Linked DNA regions of Callithrix jacchus. The protein of the gene in region 3 interacts with the protein of the main gene of each other region in a biochemical or structural test. Links are inferred from orthologs where the notes say so. Each region holds a gene or a part of one and is shown on either strand. Other genes may lie near its edges.

What was found.
Region 1: the proteins of LEF1 (region 3) and MITF form a complex in vitro, tested with the Homo sapiens proteins (2 studies listed by BioGRID). The link is inferred for Callithrix jacchus from reciprocal best matches to the Homo sapiens genes LEF1 and MITF.
Region 2: of the proteins of LEF1 (region 3) and NLK, one has a biochemical effect on the other in vitro, tested with the Homo sapiens proteins (4 studies listed by BioGRID). The link is inferred for Callithrix jacchus from reciprocal best matches to the Homo sapiens genes LEF1 and NLK.

The regions. Positions count from the first base shown.
Region 1 is NC_133516.1:51,562,102-51,565,852, reverse strand, and holds the start of MITF (microphthalmia-associated transcription factor), read right to left. Parts: upstream 2,531-3,751; 5' UTR 2,393-2,530; coding exon 2,289-2,392; intron 1,165-2,288; exon of another isoform or gene 1,066-1,164; intron 1-1,065. UniProt on the Homo sapiens protein: Transcription factor that acts as a master regulator of melanocyte survival and differentiation as well as melanosome biogenesis.
Region 2 is NC_133506.1:105,366,733-105,370,383, reverse strand, and holds part of NLK (serine/threonine-protein kinase NLK), read left to right. Parts: intron 1-2,433; coding exon 2,434-2,643; intron 2,644-3,651. UniProt on the Homo sapiens protein: Serine/threonine-protein kinase that regulates a number of transcription factors with key roles in cell fate determination. Positive effector of the non-canonical Wnt signaling pathway, acting downstream of WNT5A, MAP3K7/TAK1 and HIPK2.
Region 3 is NC_133504.1:89,313,041-89,316,691, reverse strand, and holds part of LEF1 (lymphoid enhancer-binding factor 1), read right to left. Parts: intron 2,684-3,651; coding exon 2,600-2,683; intron 542-2,599; coding exon 419-541; intron 1-418. UniProt on the Homo sapiens protein: Transcription factor that binds DNA in a sequence-specific manner. Participates in the Wnt signaling pathway. Activates transcription of target genes in the presence of CTNNB1 and EP300.

The DNA.
Region 1 (3,751 bases), on a different chromosome or scaffold from region 3:
AGTTGATAGGCAGAATGGCTACAGCAGTCTTAACATATCAATTTCAACTTTTTCCAATAAAGACTTATAAGAAATGAGGTGCCCCAGCAAAGACATAAGACAAAAAGCAATGAGAGAGGCCCAGAACAATGTGTAGCCCTTTTAAGTCACACAACAGATGTCGAGGACAATACCTTAGACAACTGTGGGAAACAGTACAGAGAAATGTCGCCAACTCCATATATTTATTCACAGAGTTTATTTAACTGGTTTATTTCAAAGAGCATGTGTGTGCTCCATATACAAGTTTTACAACAACTTTTTTTAATTTAGCCTTCCTTTCCCTGCTGGTTCAGGCCTACACCTGTTTCTAGCATTAACGTGTGAAGCCATTTCTTCCCACATACCCACAATTTTCCTGACACGTGCCTGCTAGCCAACTACTGAGGATGTTCACCCTTGCAAGTCATTTTTTGCTGACTCTGAAAAAGAACAGGCCCAAATCGTTCAACATGAGTTTCACGGCACTCATTTGGGTTTTTCCAGATGGTATTTTCCTCGCTCTCTCAAACTGATTTAATGTTATGTATCAGCCACCATCAGAAATGTTCCAAACAGTCCAGTTAATTCATTTCTTTCAGGATTCCACACACACACACTCATTCCCTCATTCTGGCCATGTAAGCATTTGCTTATAGAAGCAGAAGCAGAGACTGCCCAGTAAAACACTGGTCCCTTCAGCCGAATGCAGATAAAGCCCTGATGAGCATAACCAACAATACCCTTCACACAATATTACCCAAAACCCCCAGCCCCCAACACACACAATCTATGCTCACACACAAAACGGCCATTATGAGGAAAAACCACCAACTAAAGGCTGGTTTTATAGGTCAAACTGCTTAGGCGGTCTCCTTCCAATCTGCCGTGAAGCATCTACAAAGAGGCTTCTTCAGCAGTGGCAGTCAGTGGGTCCGCTGTTCCCAGATTTTCTTTCCCAAGTGGGATGAAGAGTCCTGCCACAGCCCTGAAGGAAATAAACCTGGTTGCACTTTCCGCTAGAAAAGGAACCAGCCCAGTGCTCACCAGAGGCCAAGATTACACCACCTGGCTCTTCATTCGGTTGCCCTTCTTCACTCACCCTCATTTCAGGACCTTCTCCCACTCTGCCAGCCAGGCCCATTCACCCAGGCCCCACCCACAGCGAAGGGCAGGGCAGGAAGGTACAGCCGGGTGCAGAAGTCCTGCTGGATGCTTCCAATGATAGCCTTATCCTAGCTCACAGCTTAGCAGGATGGAAATAAACCCTTCTCTGCTATTCCAACCTCCACTGACCATGTCCCTTTTAGTAAACACTGTAAATGAGAAGTGCGACGAGTCCAGAGTGGCCGCCGGACAGAGAGAACGGAAGATACCCAATACATTTTGACAGACAAGTGACAATGGAGGCAGCAAAAAAGCTGGCGCAAAGGAAGTGGGCAGTAGAAGAGATGGGGCGTCGGAGCAGTGGATGTCTTTACTCCTCTCCTAAAAAGTTTTTGAAGACCCCAGCGAATTAAACACGTGTCTCTGTCAAGCAAGGTACAGTCCCAGTATCCCCCAAGACCAAGGCTCATTTCCCCTCTTCAGGGAAGGCCTGGTTTTGAATGCGACTCTATTTACAGGGAGTTTAACCTGGACTAGGGGACACACCCACCGCTGCACTCGCCCCTCCCGCGCCCGCGTGGAGCGGTCTGGAGGTGAGAGGCGGAGCCCAGAGAACCCTCACCTGCAAGCGGCCAAGGGCCGATTTCCCCACAGGGACTGGACTCCCAAGAGGTGACTACAATCAAACTAACTGCTTCCCTCCAATATTGCATCTCAATCCATCCAAAGCTCTCCCTGTCCACGCCCTCAACCCGCTGGGATCTTCACAAAGGGGGTTCACTAGAACTCTTTCTCTCCCGTCTCGTCGGGACAGCAGCGTCCCGGCCAGGCGCTCCTCCTCCCCCACAGCGCGCCAGGTCGCTCCCCAGCCCCCACTCAGTCTCAGCAGCTGGCATCCCCTGCCGAGGGTCCCCGAGCCGGGACGCTCCGCCCCCGGCTACCGCAGCGCCCCCCGAAGTGCGCTCCAACCGAGCCTCCTAGAAGCGCACTTGGGCCGGGCGAGCGCGGCCCCCAACTGCGAGGGGCAGTTCGCCCTCCGCCCCGGGGCAAGGGCACTGGGTCCTTGTCCCAGAGCTCCCACGATCCGCTCTCCTCGCCCCGGAGTGGCAGACGCAGCGCCCCCCAGCCGCCCGTCGCGCCTCTGCCCAGCTGTCACCACTCACCTGCTCTTCAGAGGTTGACTTTTGAGTTCGTAATAGGTTTTGGGCTCTTCATGAAACTCCTCTCCTACTTCGAAATCCGGCACTATCCCCGATTCCGACTGCATGGCTCCCGCTTCCCGTCCTTCCACAGCTCAAAAGTGAGAACAGAGCCCGGGGGCGGAGGCAAGGTAGCTGGGCCTGGGTCCCCCGAGTCGTGCGCCCCCGCGCAGTGCAGAGCTCTGCCCGCTCGCCGGCTCGCGGCCGCCCGCCAACGAGCGGGGAGTTTACACTGGCACCCGGGAGGGAGGGGCCGACGGCCGAGCGCCGCCTGGGATCTGTAGTTCGATCCGGGCGGGGTATTCCCGGCTGGCCTGGGGAGTCACTCCCACAAAAACTACAACTCCCAGAAGGCCAGACGGGGGAGAAGCAACGTGGTGGACACCGCTAGAGCAACTCCTGTTTGGATTCATTTTCAATGTCAGCAGCTCCTCTCCCTCCTCTCTCCCCACTTGCTTCAAGGGTACAGACTTGGCTATTTAATATGAATAAGAACGGACACAGCCTGCTCTCCTACCGTCACCCCCACCTCTCAGCTCAGACATCTGCGAGGGCACGCCGTATGCTTATTTAAAAAATAAGATAGTGAAGGGTTTTGGCACTAGAAAGTTTTAGTATTCGAGCCTGTCTTAAAATAAAAAGACTTCCTATCAGCCCGCATGCTTCCCTGGGCTGCTGCGACGTATCAACTTGTCCTCGGATTGGAACAACGAGGAAGAACTTTCCTTCGCTTTGTAATGAAAACGTTATTGGAGAAATTGTTCTTGTGCGTTCCTTTTCTAGAACTAAGTCTGGACTTCTACAATACGGTTCATCAGTTAAATGACCCTTTCCTCCCCTTTATCCAAGTAGCCACTTCTAATCTAAAGCAGCAATTGAAAGATCGGTTAATTTTAAAAGGCACAAACTTACAGAACAGTGTTGTCGCTCTCTGCTTTTAATTTCCCAGTTGACTAGGAGTTCAAATGAGATTGTCCTAATATTTCAGGAGTGAAGATGTGCAAGTGAACTGTAAAAGTGTCAACCCCTTATCGAGCTTCCTGGCACTCACTTAGGGAAGAGAATTTTATAAACTCTCCTTTGTGGCTCATTTGTACTTCTAGTCCTTCCCTCTGATTAGTTCCAGTAAATAGATTGTGTTTCTTCTTTTTAAAAGTGTTTTGAGGCATCAGGAAGGCAGTATAGAGTTACGGTGGCATTTAAAGGTATAAGACTCAGAGTTCAAATTGCTGGTGCTTCTAAGAAGAGCTGTGCAATCCTTAGCATGTCACTTGGTTCCTAGAAGCCTCCATTTCTTCATCCATAAAAGAAGAGATTGGCAAACCAGTTTTAGAAGATGTTGCAAGGGCAAATGTAAGAGAAAGTCATTTGCAATCTATAAAACCCTGTTCAGTCTTCGTTCTTTATTAGGTCTTGAAGTTATTCCT
Region 2 (3,651 bases), on a different chromosome or scaffold from region 3:
AGGTGGGCAGATCACTCAAGGCCAGGAATTCAAGACCAGCTGGCCAACATGGCAAAGCCCTGTCTCTACTAAAAATACAAAAATTAGCCAGGTGTGGTGGTGCGTGCATATAGTCCCAGCTACTCAGGAGGCTGAGGCTTGAGAATGGCTTGAACCTAGAAGACAGAAGTTGCAGTGAGCCGAGATCACGTCACTGTACTCCAGTCTGGGTGACAGAGCGAGACTGTCTCAAAAAAAAAAAATTATGTTATTTGAACAGGATTTGATGAACTTGGGCTTTTGTTGTCATTTTGTTACATGGTTTTCTATATGGCTTGGAAAATTTTCCTTTGTTCTTACGTTGTAAAGGTGGTGGCTTCATACTGGTTCGGTCCTACATGCACTTTTGAATTCACTTGATAAAACCAGATTCAAATCAGAAAGAGAGGATTGCCAAAAATTTGGGGGTAAATTTTGTTTTCTTTAGAATGGTAGTTTTCAGACCTTTTTTTTTAAGCTGCCAGAACTCTTTTTCAAATAAATTCTTATTTTGGGACTTCAATTTAGAAAACTGATTTAAAATCTTATTTTATCACTTGAAATATTGTGACTTGTAAAGTTCATCACCAAGAACACTGGAGCTTAGATGGCCATTACTATCTGATCTCATCCTCATTGATCCTAGTTTTTGTGTTTTAATTACCCAATATCAAGAAAATTTTAATTCCTAAAGATAAGCAGTAGTTGCTAGTGCTGGCACTGCTGCTGCTTATTAGCAGCTCACTTTGTAACCTCAGCATACTTTTCCGTTAAGCAGAAATGACAAGAAAAAATTTATTTCTAAGCTTGTATATAAGTTAACCAGTCTTTATTATTTGCTATATCTCCAGATTCTAACGTACCATCTGTGATATAACAAGTACTCACTTATATATTTATGGCATGAAGAAATGAATGAACCAGGAGCATTAGTATTCTATAGTGTACTACATTTTAACATATTTACGCATTTGAGTGTGAATTTGTATTTTAAATAGGTACATGTGAAGTTTGGATATAATATTTATGGAATGCCTAAAGTCAGAACTAGATTCAGCTGGACTCAGTTTGAAACCCATTGTTTTAAAGAAATATATATATATATATTTCATAAAGATGACAAACATAATCTCAGCTAAGGAGAGCTTCAAGATAAACCGCTTTATCTTATATCTTCCTCTATAAGCTGGTCTTGAAAATAGTTGGTTTTGTGGGCTTTTAAAAATTTTTTTAAAGACAGGGTCTCAATTTCCCTCTGTCTCCCAGGCTGGAGTACAGTGGCACAATAATAAATAGCCCACTGTAGCCTAAAACTCCTGGGCTCAACCAGTCCTCCCACCCCAGCCTCCAGAGTACCCAGGACTGCAAGTGCACACCACCATGCCCAGCTACTTTTTAAAAATTATTTGTAGAGTTTAGATCTTGCATTGTCCAGGCTGATCTTGAATTCCTGATGTCAAGCAGTCCTCTCACCTCAGCCTCCCAGTTTCTGGGATTACAGGCATGAGCCACTGTGCCTGGCCAACAGTTGGTTTCTAAATCAAACATAGAAGTATGCATTTGGCCAGGTGCGGTAGTTCATGCCTATAATCCCAGCACTTTGGAAGGCTGAGGCAGGCAGACTGCTTGAACCCAGTAGTTCAAGACCAGCCTGGGCAACATGGCATCTCTACAACAAACAAACAAACAACAACAAAAGAAAAAAAAAAAAACACAAAAAATTAGCTGGGCATAGGTAGTAGAAGCCTGTAGTCCCAACTGCTCAATAGGCTGAGGTGGGAGGATCACTTGAGCTCAGATCCATCATGCCACTGCACTTGAGCCAGGGAAACAAATAAAAAAACAAATAAAGTCGTTTACATTCGTCACAAAACAGACATGTTTTTATTGATAAAGATGAAAAGAGTATTTTTAAGAAAATGATTAAGTTTGAGACTTTTTCCCCCTCTTAACCAAGTAAACTAGATTGTATATTGACATAAATATACTATACCTGTATCATTAAAATGTTTCAAAGTGGCCAGGTGTGATAACTCACACTTGTAGTGTCAGCACTTTGGGAAGCTGATGGGAGACCAACGCAGGTGGATCGCCTGAGATCAGCCTGGCCAATACGGTGAAACCCGTCTCTACTAAATATACAAAAAAAAAAAAAAATAGCCAGGTATGGTGGCGGGAGCCTGCAGCCCAGCTATTCGGGAGGCTGAGGCAGGAGAATCTCTTGAACCCGGGAGGCAGAGGTTGTAGTGAGCCAAGATTGTACCACTGCACTCCAGCCAGCCTGGGCTACAGAGCAAGAGTCCCTCTCAAAAAAAAGGTGTTTCAAAGTTCAGTGCCCCATGAAGGTTTTGATGTTTTGTTTTACCCTTTCATTTGTATTTGCTTGACAATGTTTTGATTGCCTTTTCTATTTAGATTTGTGATTTTGGATTGGCCAGAGTGGAAGAATTAGATGAATCCCGTCATATGACTCAGGAAGTTGTTACTCAGTATTATCGGGCTCCGGAAATCCTGATGGGCAGCCGTCATTACAGCAATGCTATTGACATCTGGTCTGTCGGATGTATCTTTGCAGAACTACTAGGACGAAGAATATTGTTTCAGGCACAGAGTCCCATTCAGCAGGTATGATTTCAATTTAAGGCTTTAGTTTCAATTCTGTTACAGATTTGAAAGAAAAATCTATCTTGTACATTATACTGTCTAATTTGCTTTTAGAAAATTCAGGGGTTCACGTAAAATTCAGAAAGTTACAAAGCTGAAGATTACAAAGAGATTCATTTTGTAACTTCAAGCCTTTAGAGGGAGTGTTAACTTTATTTAGTTATTTATTATTTTATTTACTTTTTTGAGATGGAGTCTCACTCTGTTGCCCAAGCTAGAGTGCAGTGGTGCCATCTCAGCTTACTGCAACCTCCGCCTCCCGGGTTCAAGCAATTCTTCTGCCTCAGCCTCCTGAGTAGCTGGGATTACAGACACATGCCACCATGCCAGGCTGATTTTTTGTATTTTTAGTAGAAACGGAGTTTCACCATGTTAGCCAGGCTGGTCTGGAAATCCTGATCTCAAGTGATCCGCCCATCTCGGTCTCCCAAAGTGCTGGGATTACAGGCGTAAGCCACTGCAGCCTGTTGACTTTATCACATGCACTGATGTATAGCTGCAGGCTCTGTTGTAACAATTTGCATAGGTATAATCTTTAGTTGTTAGAAGGCCTCTCTTCCTTCTAAATGAATGGCTCTGACTTGAAAATGTCTCGATGACTTAATATACTTAAACTTTGTGCTTAGAATATAAATTTTTATTGTGTTGATTTCTTGAAATCTGAACATTTAGGAAAATTTCTGACCTTTATTATTGGACTAAAATATTTAAATATGACAGAGAACATCAGGAAATGATTAAAGTATAGCTTTAAAAAGCCATTCATGTTATTTTGTCTTTAAAGCTAATTCACTAATACACATATTTTCTTGGGATACTTATTAGGTATTTTTTATTTACAAATTTTAACAGTATTGCTTGCATGAAAATAATGTAGTAACCACGAGTTCAGGCTGTGAAATGAAATTGGTGGGTCCAAATCCTATCTATACCATTTAACTGTTAAATCTTAGGCAAGTTACTTAACCT
Region 3 (3,651 bases):
TGCTGTTGAAGCTTGGAGCCAGGGTAACTGTACTTCCAGAAGAAGGTGCATTAGACCCTCCAGTCTACTTCACTCAGGTAGGAATAGGTTCTTGCCAAAAATCTGAACCAAATGAAAATTCAGTGATAAATGGCTAAACAGCTCCAGAGTCTTGAGTGCCCACGTTCTGAAGATTTCTCCATTTTGGTGGGGTTCCCATGATCTTTTGAGGTCCGTGCTCCTTTCCAACTTCAGAATCAAAATCAGCACAGTAGGAATCAAGCTGCTTAATGTCCTCAGGGACACAGCTTTCAAGGCAGAGGTCCACTGAGTTTTACAGTAACAGAAAGAAGTGAAGGATCACTGCTGCAAAGGAGCAACAGTGTAGAAATCCTGCGTAGCGTAAGGCAACCACAGCAGAGCCCGAGTGGATACTTACACGTGCATTAGGTCACTGTCCGTGTGGGGATGTTCTTGTTTGACCTGAGGTGTTACAATAGCTGGATGAGGGATGCCAGTTGTGTGGGGACCAGGAGGACCGGGAATCATATGATGGGAAAACCTAAAAGAAGGAAAGAGAAGAAAACAATGTACTACTGGCTGTTGTAGCAAAAGCCAGATAGAATTTCAAAGCAATCCACTAACGGCTACTGGCTAAGAGTAAAAACGCATCTTTATGCACAGAAGCATTAACTATAAATTAGAGTGGGCCGATAATTTTTTTTTCCTTCTGTATTCAGGTGGAAATATTTACAATTATTCCCTGTAGTTTTTTCAAACTAATAGTAGAATATGACATTTTTCTAGGAAGGCTGTAGGCCATAAGATTTGGAAAAAAAAGTGAATCATTAAAAAAAAAAGTGAATCATTTTTCTTGCAAAGCAATTTCAAAATAAGAATTTCATTAAAAGTCATTATTGGAAATATAGCACTTTAAGACTTAGCTTTTAAAGTGATTTTTAAATGAAAGCAAAAGACACCACATGTTAAAATCTCTGCCTATATTCCTAAGCAAACCATCACAATGAAAATGTTCTCATCTTGTTGGCTTCCTCATCCATACGAGGAAGGAACAACTGAGAAAAGGGATAGGAATCAGTCTCCCATTTAATAAGGTTTCCATTAACATCATCCAAAATGATTTTCTGTGCAGATATAAACTAATGTTTCAGAGATGACATCTTATGGAAAACTGGTAACAGAAATAAGGAGAAGAATTTAATTAAAAGGAAGGATACAGTTCTGCATCAAGGTTAAAAACTACACCCGCCAAAGGCTTTTTCCCAAGTATGCTTGTACAGTATCAAAAAGTCTCCAAATATCCACCACCAGCCAACACAAAGGAGGGAAACTGCCATGCAAGAAAAATAAAATAAATAGAGACATTCCTTTCAATATGCTCTCTAGATAAATTTGGATACGTTTTAGAAATCTTTGCTTTTCAAACTGTTTTAAAGTAAACATTTAACTCAGCAAGACAACATTCTCAGGTCTTTCATCACAGCCTACACAATTAATTTCCTCATCTGGAAAGAAACTCTGCTGGGACATATATTTTTCAAGAACAAGTCTTAAAATATTAAGGAAGCACGGTAAAAATACAAATATTTGACCAAATAACGATGCTTTGTTAGCTGTATTACTTGCAAAAATATATGATGCTAGTTATTTGCCTGTCAGAATCCTATCATCAGATAGTTCTTACAATGTTAAAAAGTATAAAAATATGTTTTAAGGGGAAAGATAGTAATTCCATCTCCTCCCACAATCGGCTACATTTACAAGTCACTGAAAAAAAATTTTTTAAGCTGTAATTCACCCCAGAAAATATGAAATTTATACCCATATAAAAAAGACAGATTCACAACCAGTTAATAACCTACCAGTTTGACTTCCGGCACAATAATGCTAGCTCCCTTGACAAAGCCACATCGAACACACAGATAATGCATACCAAATGTGTGTGTACATCAAGCACAGGGCACAGAGCCATCCTCTCCAGAAGCAAAAGCATCACACACAGCAGCTTCTCGGGGAAGCGCAGCAGGCCTCCCGAGCTCCGCTGGCACAACCATGTCCACACAGGCCTGATTCACACACTAGGACACACACCCTGTACGGCCTGCCAGCCTGTCCCCACCGTTCTGTCTCTTCTGACAGCCTCCGTCCAGGAAGGCTCTAGGCTCTGGGCATTTTCAAACACTGCCGCATCAAACTGATACAACTTTCCACAAATGAAGCATATTATAGAACTGAGATCAAACCAGTTTTTATCCTCCTCCGGCATATTTTGAATCAAACAAACTCTTCTTGTAATGTCCGCTTTCCGGACAGTTCCATCCCACAGTCAGGCGGTCATGGATTGGTTTGGAGGCAATGCTTTCCAGGGAGGCTGTGTCCATCCCCCGATGGTGTGGCTGGTGCGGCTGCGGCACAGTGCAGGGCTCCTACCCGGGACTCTCTCTGACACCTAGTGTGGGAGCCAGGCACACTGCACAGACAGACACATGGCTGAGGTATGCACCCTCCTAGCTGACCAAAAGGCAAGCAGAGGCGCACAGGATGCAAGCACGAGAAGAGCAACTTGTCCTTGAGCGCCCCAGTTTCCACCTCCACCTACCTGGACATGGAAGTGTCGACTGACAGTGAGGATGGGTAGGGTTGCCTGAATCCACCCGTGATGGGATATACAGGCTGACCTTGCCTGAGGTCACAGAAGAAAGGAACCCATCAATGACAAAACACGAGTTACCAACCAGCAGTAAGAGTTGGATGAGGGGAGAAGAGGGAGATATTCAAACAGAATCTTGTGGAAGTATTACAGACCTCCACATGGTTTCAGATATGTAACCGTTCCCCTTCCTCACCCTCCACCCAATCAAAGCATAATTTGCCTTGAAGGAAATCTCCCACCCTCAACTTGGAAACAAACTGTTCACAAATTATGTCTCTTTTATTCCGTCCCCTCTCCCAACCCCATTAATGCTTTGAACAAAGTAGGCACTTGAATGTTTATTGAATATAACAGAACCCTGAGAATATTGAAATATTCCCTTCAGAGAAGGAGCTGAGTGACTTATCAGAGTTTTTGAGAATTTCAGGCAAGGGAAGAAAGAAGAAAATAAAACTTTATATTTATATAAAAATAAACATTTAAAAAACACCATACCTTTCCCCCAATATATATGTTAAAGTCAAGAAATAAAAGACTAATTCACTGGAATTATTTTCCCTCCATCCTAAGTCCATCTTTCCCTCTGTTCTTTCTACATCTCTCATTTTTCACTTACACAGACTTTATTTCTAGCTGCCAGTGGTACAATTCAGCACAGGACTATTGCCCCTAAGTCGCTAAGTTCAGACAGAATAATTGATCTAGGTTTGAAAGTGTATGCATAATCAATTAAGTTCAAGCAGTTACTGACTAAGAGATGTAATGCTAGGGAGAGAAAAAGAAAGAGAGAAAGCTGGATTGTTCATGGCAGGATGAGCCTTCCTGGCTGAAGAAGGATAATGCAAGGATGTCCAGGTATGGCGATGTGGGCCGATGACATGGGGGCTGTGACATAGAGAGCCAAGTGGAAAAAGGAGAGAAACAAGTGCTAGAGTTGAGAATTATTCCTATGGAGAAGTGGGGAGGGAAGAGTAGAGACAGTATAGGAATGGGAGGAA